3 linked regions of the Tribolium castaneum genome follow. The protein of the gene in region 1 binds, or shares a complex with, the protein of each later gene. Links are inferred from orthologs where the notes say so. Each region holds a gene or a part of one and is shown on either strand. Other genes may lie near its edges. The genes, in order: Nipped-A, YL-1 and MRG15.

Evidence for each region.
Region 2: Nipped-A (region 1) and YL-1 share a complex: the UniProt entries of both Drosophila melanogaster proteins name them as parts of the tip60 chromatin-remodeling complex. The link is inferred for Tribolium castaneum from reciprocal best matches to the Drosophila melanogaster genes Nipped-A and YL-1.
Region 3: Nipped-A (region 1) and MRG15 share a complex: the UniProt entries of both Drosophila melanogaster proteins name them as parts of the tip60 chromatin-remodeling complex. The link is inferred for Tribolium castaneum from reciprocal best matches to the Drosophila melanogaster genes Nipped-A and MRG15.

Annotation. Positions count from the first base shown.
Region 1 is NC_087401.1:16,699,173-16,703,339, reverse strand, and holds the start of Nipped-A (transcription-associated protein 1), read left to right. Parts: upstream 1-1,216; 5' UTR 1,217-1,344; intron 1,345-1,521; 5' UTR 1,522-1,554; coding exon 1,555-1,704; intron 1,705-1,754; coding exon 1,755-2,054; intron 2,055-2,106; coding exon 2,107-2,301; intron 2,302-4,167. Other genes in the region: facilitated trehalose transporter Tret1, read left to right, coding at 1-944. UniProt on the Drosophila melanogaster protein: Part of the Tip60 chromatin-remodeling complex which is involved in DNA repair. Upon induction of DNA double-strand breaks, this complex acetylates phosphorylated H2AV in nucleosomes and exchanges it with unmodified H2AV.
Region 2 is NC_087397.1:8,922,068-8,925,963, forward strand, and holds YL-1 (vacuolar protein sorting-associated protein 72 homolog), read left to right. Parts: upstream 1-1,574; 5' UTR 1,575-1,720; coding exon 1,721-1,857; intron 1,858-1,907; coding exon 1,908-2,034; intron 2,035-2,090; coding exon 2,091-2,187; intron 2,188-2,238; coding exon 2,239-2,689; intron 2,690-3,078; coding exon 3,079-3,298; 3' UTR 3,299-3,334; downstream 3,335-3,896. UniProt on the Drosophila melanogaster protein: Part of the Tip60 chromatin-remodeling complex which is involved in DNA repair. Upon induction of DNA double-strand breaks, this complex acetylates phosphorylated H2AV in nucleosomes and exchanges it with unmodified H2AV.
Region 3 is NC_087400.1:991,384-994,555, forward strand, and holds MRG15 (mortality factor 4-like protein 1), read left to right. Parts: upstream 1-1,361; 5' UTR 1,362-1,472; coding exon 1,473-1,500; intron 1,501-1,549; coding exon 1,550-1,667; intron 1,668-1,718; coding exon 1,719-2,541; 3' UTR 2,542-2,575; downstream 2,576-3,172. Other genes in the region: INO80 complex subunit B, read right to left, coding at 344-739, 787-1,157, 1,205-1,208; uncharacterized protein LOC657630, read right to left, coding at 2,576-2,940, 2,990-3,172. UniProt on the Drosophila melanogaster protein: Part of the Tip60 chromatin-remodeling complex which is involved in DNA repair. Upon induction of DNA double-strand breaks, this complex acetylates phosphorylated H2AV in nucleosomes and exchanges it with unmodified H2AV.

The sequences.
Region 1 (4,167 bases):
GGTCAACTGTTGCTTTTTTGAGCGTTTCATTTGCTTTATTTACGCTAATTGCGGTCGAGTTTCTTCCGGAAAGTCCCTCGTATTTAATTAAGGCCGGGCTTCACTCCAAAGCTTTCGATAGTTATTTTTGGTTTCGGCGAAACGTAGCTTTGGCACAAACCGAAGTTTCTAAACACGCTTCAAGTGAGAAAATCGAAATTAGCGCCAAAGAAATCTACTGCAGTGCTGCCACCATTAAACCGTTCCTCATCCTTGTCACTTTGTTCTTTCTCCAACAATTATCGGGGATTTACACGATTCTTTTTTACGCTGTGAATTTCTTCGAAGAGACTGATCTCGAACTGGACAATTACGTGTCTTCGATCATTGTCGGGGCGATTCGGTTCGGGATGTCAATGGTGACTGCGATTCTAGTGAATAGGTTCGGCCGTCGCCTACTTTGCATGGCCTCGAGCGGGGGGATGAGCGTTGCAATGTTGGCAATGGTCGTTTATTTCAAATACTACGAGATGCATGCGGGGGAAGTACGGGTTTTGCCGGTACTTCCCCTGGTGTGTGTCGTCTTCAATGTGATGTTCTCCATGGTGGGGATGCTCCCGATTCCGTGGATTCTGGTCGGGGAGTTGTTCCCGCTGGAAGTTAGGTCCATCATGAGCGGGATTGTCATCTGCATAGCGCAGTGTTTTGTCTTCCTGTTTGTCAAAATCTACCCTGATATGATCGAACATTTGAATTTCAGCGGCACTTTGATGACTTTTTTGTTGGCAGCAGTGGTCGCGCTGTTTTTCTGTAAATTTGTGTTGCCCGAAACTAAGAACAAATCCTTGCAGGAGATTGAGGATTATTTCAAACGCAAGAAGGTTTTGGATGGGTTTGATAACCAAGGGTTTTGCCCGGAAGTGATAAAAAACGAGGGGATTTACACGGTGCAGATACAGACATGACGTAATTACTTTCAACTAGTTGGAAAAAACTTAGTTCTTATAGAACCGACGGTGATTGATTGTACAAACAACTATTTTTGTATTTAATTGATGAATAAAATTATTTATTTTTCGACTGTGTTTGATTGGTTGCCTACCACAATTAGCCACAAATATCTGGTTTTTAAGCCACAATACAAGCACAATTAAATTGCTCGTTTTTTTTACAAATTGTGCTAGTTTTTGTGTTCCGATTTTTCGGCAAAAAGGCCAGAAATTGATAATTCCAAACAACATGGCGCAACTCTAGCCACTTCTTCACCTAGTTAACCGTAGCCACTTCCCATTCATTCATCGTGAATATGTTTAAAACACGGAAAAAAGTGTTCCAGTGTTAGAAAAACGTGCAATTTTCGAAAAAGTTAGTAGATTTTGGCCCAATTAAGCGATACGTTTTTTACACGAATGAAATGCGTCAACTTTAAGTCGGTTATCTGATTGTTTTTTTTTGGAGGTTATGTTGTTCATTCACTTCTCAAATTTGAACGTTTTTTGCTCGTTTTTTCGGCAAATTTTGAGCCCCGGCTTTACGTTTAAGGTTTTAAGATGTAAAAAGTGAAGTGGGCCCCAAATGCAGTCAAGTTCTTCGACCATGGCGGGCATCGACCCCCATACGACTCAAATGAACCAGTTCAGGAGCTACGTCACGATGTTGGGGGACGCCAACTGTAAGGACGTCCTGAAACTGAAAGCCACGCAGGAAATTAGCAAAAATTTCGAGGTATTTGCGGTCAAAACCGTGAAAAAATGTCCCTGAAAGTGGGCTTTCAGATCATTCTTTCGTCGTCTCTCTATCAGAGTTTTTTGGACCACTCTGTGAAAATCTTCCTGAAAATACTACAAGAGGGCGATCCGCATTTTATCGCCGAGTATAACATACAGCAAGTGCGTAAATTAATTCTGGAGATGTTGTACAGACTGCCAACGAATGATCTTCTGAGACCTTATGTTAAGTCGATTTTGTCGCTCATGTTGCGCCTTTTGGAGATTGATAATGAGGAGAATGTTTTGATCTGTTTGAAGATTATCATCGAGTTGCATAAGCAGTATCGGCCGGCGTTTAATCCAGAAGTGATTTTTTTTTTTTAATTAATTTTGTTTGAGATTTAAGTGGTTTTTGTAGATACAACATTTTCTCCAATTTGTTAAGTCAATTTATTCGGATTTGCCCAATCATATGGACAAGATTTTTGAACCTAGGGCGCCAATTAAAGTCAATAATTTAAATGAGTTGAACATTGAGGAGTTACTTAAGGAGACGTTCACAATGACGACCATACAAACTGAGAAGAAGAATAAAGATGACACTTTAGTCACGGTATGTTTAATTTATTTTTTGCTGCAATAAAAATTTACAAATTCTTAAAAAAAACGCCGATTATGTGCTAACATTTATGTATTAAAGAATTTGAAACAATTTTTCTCTTTTAAAAAGGAGCTATATCGTCTGGAAATACCTAAATGCACCTTATTATAGCATTTGTCTCGTTTAAAGAAGTTGATTTTTAACGAATTTTTGTTAATAAAATCGTCTAAATTCCCAAAATTACGTTTATTTTGTGTTTTTTTTACTTGTTTTAATCTATTAAAATCACTGTTTTAAAAGTTTAAACATAGATTTTAGCGAGATTTTGTTAAATTCGGCCAGAAAACTACAAATTTATGTTGAATATGTTTTTTTTTGGGCAATTATAGTTGGAAATGTAGTAATTTTTTTTGGATGTTAAGGCATTTTTTTGAGATTGAGACGCAATTTTACTGAATCGGTTTGAAATTTCATTAATTTGGTTCGTAAATGTTATTATTTCGCCGATTTTTATTTAAATTTCGTCAAAAAATGATTCGAAAAATTTCAAATTTTGACATTTCTTGAGTATTTTTGAGTTTTTCGTTTTTTGTTTTGAACGAGATATCGTGGAATTTAAGCCACAAGGCCACAAATTAGGTAGTTTTTTTAATTTTTTGGTGCGTTTTTGAGTGTTTAAGTACATTTTGAGATTAAAACTAAGATTTTTCGACAGAAAAAAATGTTTCTCTTGACTGTGTAGAATTTTATTGAATTTTATGGTAAAGGCTATTCTAAAAAAAAAAAAAAATTACAAAAACAATACAGAAAATTACATAATTTGTATGAAATTGGTTTTTATGAGCTAAAAACTTGTATATAACATTAAGTTAGACTTGGTCTTTTTCTTTTGTTTAAAAGGGCCAAAAAGTGTGAACAATTAACAAAAACCAATTAGTTTTACATTTAAAATAATTAAAGTAACATATTTTATTAGAACAATTTTTTGGCGAATTTTGACTTTTTTCGGTGATTTTTTTTTCAATAACTGAGTTTCCGATGTAATATTGAGCTAAATAACTCACTCAGGATTGATTAAAATCATTTAATTTTATAGTACAAGTCAATGAAACATAAAAAATGTTGATGTATTTTTTTGTTATTTTATTTTATTTTTGTATTTTTTATTTATATCTTTTTTAAAGAGGCCAAGATAAGGTAAATAATTAAAAAAATAATGAATGACACGTTAAATGGACAGAAATAACATAATTGAGACTAATTTTGGCAATTTTTTTGATTTTTTTTTGGTGTTTTTTTTAATCAGTGAGTTTCTGTATTTAGAACTTAGAATTAGTTGAAATCTGGATAGTTTGCGAATAATGTAAACGAAAACGAGTAAATGAACGTAATTCTTTTTGTTATTTTATTACGTGTTCTTATAGATACTTTTTTAAATTATATTGACATTTTTATTCAAATAAACAGACAAAAAGTGGATAGTGAAAAAATTAATTAATCACATCAAAATTAGTTTCTTTACTAGCTGAAAGCTTGAAATTATATAATTTAGTCCAATGTTTTTAATTTTTTTCGGTAATTTTTTTAATAAGTGTGTTTTCGTATTTTAAAGGCAATTATTTTGAGAAACTTTGACTTATCTAAAGATTTTTTTATTAACCAAACAGTGCTTCTTACGATTGTAAATTAGTATTTTTAGATTGAATTGCACTATTTGTGTATAACATTAAGTTACTTATTAATTGTTGACGTTTTTTTTACTTTGTCTTTTTCTATATTGTTTTTTCTTTTATTTAAAATTGCCAAAAAGTGTGAACATTTAATTAATAATCTTTTTTAAAATAGTTAAAATATCATACTTGGACCACATTTTCGGCG
Region 2 (3,896 bases), on another chromosome or scaffold:
AGTTCAGGAGGGTTGTAAATGTTGTAAGTCTGGGGGGTTTCGTAAAAATACGCTTCTCTGTTTTTGTAAAAATGGTAAGCGAGGACGCCAACACCCACGATGGCCATGGCAAAGAAGGAAAATCCTTGGAAAACCATCCTGGCACTAAAATTCCCAACAAACTTACAAACCCAATTTTGACTTATTTAATTACGGTCAAAGTGTCTTTAGGGTGCAGGCTAGTTGTTTGATGTCTGCTTGCTTCACAACCACTTACGAATATCTTACATATTGAGTGTAAAGCTGATAAACAGGGTTTTGTTATTGTCAGAAATAACTGTCAACAATATTACATAACCTAACAACTTTCTTTCTCTGAAATCGGAATATTCGCGGTTACAGTAATTTTTCACTTTATTTTTACAAAACTTATTGGCTGGGATTAGTAATACACAACAAAAAATGGTTCAAAAAACTTTATTTTTGACCTGTACATTTTCCTTTCATTCAAATTACAAGAAAAAATGAAAAACTATATTCTACAAGAAACAATGAGACAAATAAATTAATATTCTAGTCATTCTACAATTCTACATACAGTTTAGGAAACAATAAATGTTAAAATTCGGTTAACATCCTGAAAGGCACAAAATTGTACATATTGCTCATAATAATTGTCATGATTTCAGTTGTTTTAATTAATCAAAGGTTATTTAAAAAAATAGGAAAAAAGCATGAGTGTAGCTGTAATGCTGTTCCTAATGCTAATAAACCTAGGATATGTTGAGATTTGTTAGCTGAGAAAAATTACTGTATCTTAGTTTATGCACATTTGCGACAAACTGGACAACTTCTGTTTTCTTTGAACCATCTTGTGATACACTGATCATGAAATTTATGTTTGCATGGTAAAATAATGCCACCATCACCTTCAGGCAATGGTTCACAACATATCACACATTCCGGAACCGAGTTTCTTCTTTTTTTTCTGTAAAAAGGTGTTTTTGTACGTTGCAGTTACATAATAAGTTACTCACTTGTTCTTTCCTGTATCTGCTGTATCTGGTGTTCTTTCCTGTACCCTCGGTGTGTACACATATGTATACTTATTGTCGCTCTGGTGACAAGAAGCTGTGTTGTTTCTAGCAGTGTAGACTTCATATATGGCCAACCCAATTGCAAAAACCATCGCAGTCATAAGAACTATGCCTTGAACTCCCATCTTTGTTTTCTCTTTTTGTAACGGAAATGTGGCTGGCTATTGTAACAATTACCTACCTTTGCAACAGCAACGTCAGCAGCAGCTGAAGACGACTTATTGATAATTCTGTAATTCCCCTCGATTTATCAGGACCACCAACAAAAAGACGAGAAATAACTCATTTTCACCCTTTTGGTGGGGTTATTGCGGAGGAAAAAATGAGATCAATTCTAAAAATATTCCCACACGCACGTATTTATTCCATTCATTCATTGTAAAGTGCCAAAATCTTTTTTTACCAAAATACGAAAGGACTCGAACGCTTGTTGCAGTGACATATGAAACTTAGCTATTGGTACTTACTGATAATTCTATGGTATCTAGCAAAATACTAACCTTAAAATTTCGCAGTTTGACAGATGGTGTTTAGTGCTTGTGTTTTTTATTTAATTAGGAAAAATATTAAATAAAAACCATTTACTTTGTAATAAAACTTATCATTGGTTTGTTGTCCCTGTCCCAGGCGAGAAATTCGTTACAATGGCAAAAAGAGAAAAACGGGCAAATGCCGGTAACCGTATGGCAAAATTGTTAGATGAAGAAGAAGAATGTCAAGACGAATTCTACAAAACCAATTATGGTGGTTTTGAAGAAACCGAATCCGATAGGGAATACGAGTACTCACTTCTGATTCATTTTGTTCCGTTTTGTTATGGTTTAATTGCAGGGAGGAGGAAGAAGGCGAAGATGTGGTAGATTCCGACTTTAGTATTGACGAAAATGACGAACCTATTTCAGACAATGAGGAGGAGGGTCAGAAGAAGAAACGAAGATTAGTTACAAAGGCTTACAAGGTAATGCACGATTATGACGTTCGATTTTTTGTTAATTTTTATCTGAAACATTGTAGGAACCAGTGCCTGCACCCAGTAAACAAAAAGCAAAACCAAAACCCACAAAACCTGTCCCTAAAGTCAGAACAACCCAACATGAATCCACAGAATACGGTTTGAAAATAACGAGTTAGTTAATAATATTTGGCAACAAACGTGTTACAGAAAGAAAGTCAATCAGGAAGTCCACAGCTGCAAAATCAGCCGCAACAGCACAACGCATCAAAGTACGAAATCTCGAACAAAAGAAAAAAATCAAGAAACCGAAAGAAGAAGAATGGGTGCCAACACAGGAAGAGTTACTCGAAGAAGCAAAAACGACCGAATTGGAGAACTTGAAGTCACTTGAAAAGTACCAAAAGATGGAAAGTGAGAAGAAAACGAAACGAACTGTGAAAAAAGTCATCAATGGCCCTGTTATCCAATACAGATCAACACGAATGCCAATCATTGAGGAAATCAATCAAGATAAAGACATCAAGAACGAATCAGAAAACGTGTGCGAACGCACGTTTATCTCAGTGCTTAATGACCCTAACGATGCCACATTTAACAGCATTTTTGAAAAAAAGACAGCGCGTCCGCTTCCACGACGTCTCAGATGCATTGTCACAGGGTAAAAATAGCTATTTATATGTGCAGGGGCAATTCTTGCTCCCGTCACGTGTACAGGGTGAGTCATTGATATGACATACACCGTCAGTGGTATCGTATTCTAAAATTCTTTGTCCGATAATACAGTCTTCCATTTTTACAGTGCAGTCTAAACATAATTTTTTTAAATGTCAGGGGTTATTTTTTTATTTTTCTACAATTTAATCTGCAGGCATATTACAGTGACTCACCCTGTATATATTTTTTTCGCCTAATTTGGAGGTGCAATGTGCACAGTATGTCTTTCCTGTCTAGGGAGGAAAAGACATAGTTTGCACTTTTGAATTAGGGAGCAAAATATTTTCTAAAAAGCGACGCATTTTTTTATTTTTATTTATTTTGTGTTTTCAGTCACCTTGCAAAGTACGTTGACCCTAAAACGTGTCTGCCTTACCACAGCAGCATGTGTTTGAAGATAATTCGTTCTGCTTATTACCAACAACTGGAAGCTCATGGAGATAAGAGTAATCCAGTAGTTGCAAACTGGCTTAAGTGGTACGTTAAGAATAAGGATAAGTTAAGGAGGGAGTTGGCGTTGAAAGTAAAAACACATCAGGTGGATCACAGTTGATTTATTTTGCTCTATTTAATAAATTTTTATAATACAGTTTCTATTTCTTTCAAATAAAACTGTTTTGGTCTGAGATCAACACGATTAAATGTTAGTGAATGAGTTTGCAACAAATTTGGACGAATGAAAAGCGTCGAAAACGTTTAGTTAATATATTTATTAAACTGGTGCACAAATAATACATTACCATAATCTCAGTAGCCAATAATTTGGCTGAAAATTGGCTTATGAAGTACAACAAGAATTAATAACATTAAATATTATTAATATGACACATAAATTACATCTAGTTTAACATATCATATAAAATTAATAGGTATTTGATAAGCTACCTCATTAATTAATGCCATTATTACTTTGTTAAAATAATTTTAGCACTTGAGTATGAACAGTGTATATCAAAAGAGTAGTTCGATTAACAATGCGAATTTGTTAATAGATTACTGTTTTAATATACAATTCGTTAAAACTCTGAGAAAACGAAATTAATCTCTAATCTAAGTACAACATAATGTAAATATTTATAATAGTTAAAAAATCTTTAAAGTACTCTCAGCAAAACAATTTCATGTCCGAAAACAATTTTCAATAAAACATT
Region 3 (3,172 bases), on another chromosome or scaffold:
TGTCTCTAATTTTTCTCTAACCTCTTAATTTCGGACACCCAAAAAGCAGCACCCTGTACAAACGAACAGTACCTTAAAGTTTATTTGTTTAAGATGCACAAATTTCGGGGAAGTTTCCCGCTAGGGGCGCCCCACACGTGCCAAAATAGGTCAGATAGACAGAGTCACATACAATGTTTCCTTCCGGTAACAATAACTGATCAAAGTGGCCTGTGATTGGCTCGGGCCACTTTGATTCGAAAATTAATACGCGCCATCCAAGTGGCCTAGTCACAACCCAACAAATGTAAAACAAATAAATTACCGTATCTCTGACTCAAAACTGGCCTTTTTTCCCTTCCCCTCACAAAATCCGACTAGCGATATTCCTTTTATAACACGTTAGACTGCACAGCGGTGCATTTGTCCGCGAACAGGAGTATTTTTTCACATTGCCACAGCCCATGCTACACAGTGTGGCTTTCGGGGGCTCTTTGCCCCCCGCCCCCGGCAAGGGCCAGTCCATCCCTTGCGGGAACGACACTGTCGTTAACCCAACATTCTGACGGTACAAAATCATGGGGGTTTGCGCTTTGGTGATTTTGTTTTTCGCCGCTTTGGCCGCCTTCGACTCCTGCTTTTTGAGCAGCCTTTCCATCGTCTTCTTCTTATCCTTTTCGCGCTTTTCGTCCGCCAGTTGTTTGCGTTTCTGCGACTTGATCGCCGCTTTTTGAATCGCTTCGGCCGTCATGACCTTCTCCTAAACCAACAAGTCTAAACTATTTGAATTGAAACAAACTGAATTACTTTATATCCAGTCGGGAGCGACATTAACGTGGGGGTGGTCACAGAGGGGCTCCCGTCCACCTCACGCTCGTACATGGCGCGCTGTCGCGCCGTCATCAAGGCCGGGTCCTTCGGCTTGATTTTCTTCAATTCGTCGTCAACATCCTCAAGCTTCCCGGACTCGATGGCAGTGAGCCACCGTTCCTCGTCACTTGAGGCACTGTCGCGTTTTTTGCGCTTTTTATTACCAGAGGACGATGCGGACGGGGGCTTGTTCACCGGCGACTTGGTTTTAGCACCAGACTCGTCCACTATGAGCAAATCACCGGAGGTGTCGTCCTCCGGCAAAGGGGGCCTCCGCTTAACCTTACTTTTCTTCGATTTCTGCAACTCTAAACCCACGATAACACGATCAGGGGGCACATTTAAACAAACTCACCCATTCCAAGCCAAATTCAAACGCCGTCTAAAGCTAGGTTATGTTGACAAAATGGCGTGACCGTAGCCACTTCTGGCTTGTAATCAATCATAATTAACTAACCCTGGCACAATTTCGCCCCAAATCAATCATCAAGCAAATAAATGTTTCACAAAATACAATAAATAACAAATAAAGGCACCGGGACGCGTTATAACCGGCACAAATGTGCCGGTAGCCACAACCAACTGTCAATTGTCAAAACAAAAAAAATTGTTTGAAGCCGAAAATGCCCCCCAAGTTTAAATTTTCCGAAGGTAAGACACGTGGTCGCCCCCTTAAGCCGCCCAAACACCCCTTTTCCAGGCGAGAAGGTTTTGTGCTTCCACGGCCCGTTGATTTACGAAGCCAAATGTCTGAAGTCGACCATAACCAAGGACAAGCAAGTGAAGTACTTTATCCATTACGCTGGTTGGAACAAAAAGTGTGTAAGTGTTTTCGGGGGGCCTTGTAATTGACAGTCGTGTGTTTGCAGTTGGGACGAATGGGTGCCCGAAAGCCGTGTCCTCAAATACAACGAGGCCAACGTTGCGAGACAAAAGGAGGTGCAAAAAGCCCACTCGACTCAACCCAGCAAGACGAAAAAGGCCAAGAAGAGTAAAACCGACGCCACGAAAGACATTGACTCGAGATCTAGTACCCCAAATAATGAACTGATCAAAGGGGGGAAGAGCAAAATAAGCACACCGTCGAGTGGGCAAGACTCGGGTTCAGACGTGCCCCGGAAGAAAAGGGGGCGGTTGGACCCCTCGGTCGAGTCCGAGGAGCAATTTTTGAATAAGGTTGAAATCAAGGTTAAAATCCCTGACGAGTTGAAACCTTGGTTGGTGGACGACTGGGACGTAATTACCAGACAACGAAAACTCGCAAATTTGCCGGCAAAAGTCACAGTCGAGCAAATTCTGGACAACTATCTCGCTTACAAGAAGTCAATCAAGTCGAATAATTCCAGCAAAGAGTCGGCTACGATTGAAATCGTCAAAGGCATCAAGGAGTATTTTAACGTGATGTTGGGGACGCAACTTTTGTACAAGTTCGAGCGGCCCCAGTACGCCGATATCTTGCAAACCTACCCCGATAAGCCCATGTCTGAGGTGTACGGTGCCACTCACTTGCTCCGTCTGTTCGTCAAGCTGGGGGCCATGTTGGCGTACACGCCCCTCGACGAACGCAGCATCCAACTCCTGCTCCAGAACATCCAAGATTTCTTGAAATATCTGGTCAAAAACAGCGCCCAATTGTTCAGCCTGCAAGACTACGGGAACGCCACACCTGAATACCACCGCAAGGCGCTTTAATTGTGATTATTTTATTAAAAATAATAGAAAAGCATTAGTCGGTTTTTAAAAACGGGGCCCAACTCTCGCTGGGGGCCTCGGGCGGGGCGACCCACCCGAGTGGAATAGCCGAGCCTGAGGCGTTCCCCGGACTTAGAAACGTGTCCCAACTTTTCCTTATGGCGATAAATGTCTCCAAGTCGCGGTCGGCGCTCGTTAGAGCCCAGAAGGTGGGGTTGTTGACGGGGGGGTCTCGGGGGCCGAATAGGAGGGACTCCCAGTCGTCGACAATGCGGGTTTGTTTGGCGGCGATCGCCGCTTTGGAGTCCTTACTGGCGTTGTGTTCCAGCATCACTTTCAAGCATTGCTCCTCTTTGCAGTAGCTCTGGTACGAGTTCTCCCACATGCGAATTAGTTTCTCTGAAAGTTTAGTTATGTAGAAGTGTTTGTCTTGTTTGGCCAATTTTACCCGTGACGTGCCCGAAGGCCTGCCTGTCCTCCAGCGACAACTTGTCGCCCCTTTGCGTGGCCATGGCGTCTCTAACCGTCCGCAACTTAACGAGCGCGGAAATGAGTGAGAGTTGCTTGCGCGCTTCCGATTTCTTCTTCGTCACTTCGTACAAAACACAATCGGCGTCTCTCTTCATCTTTT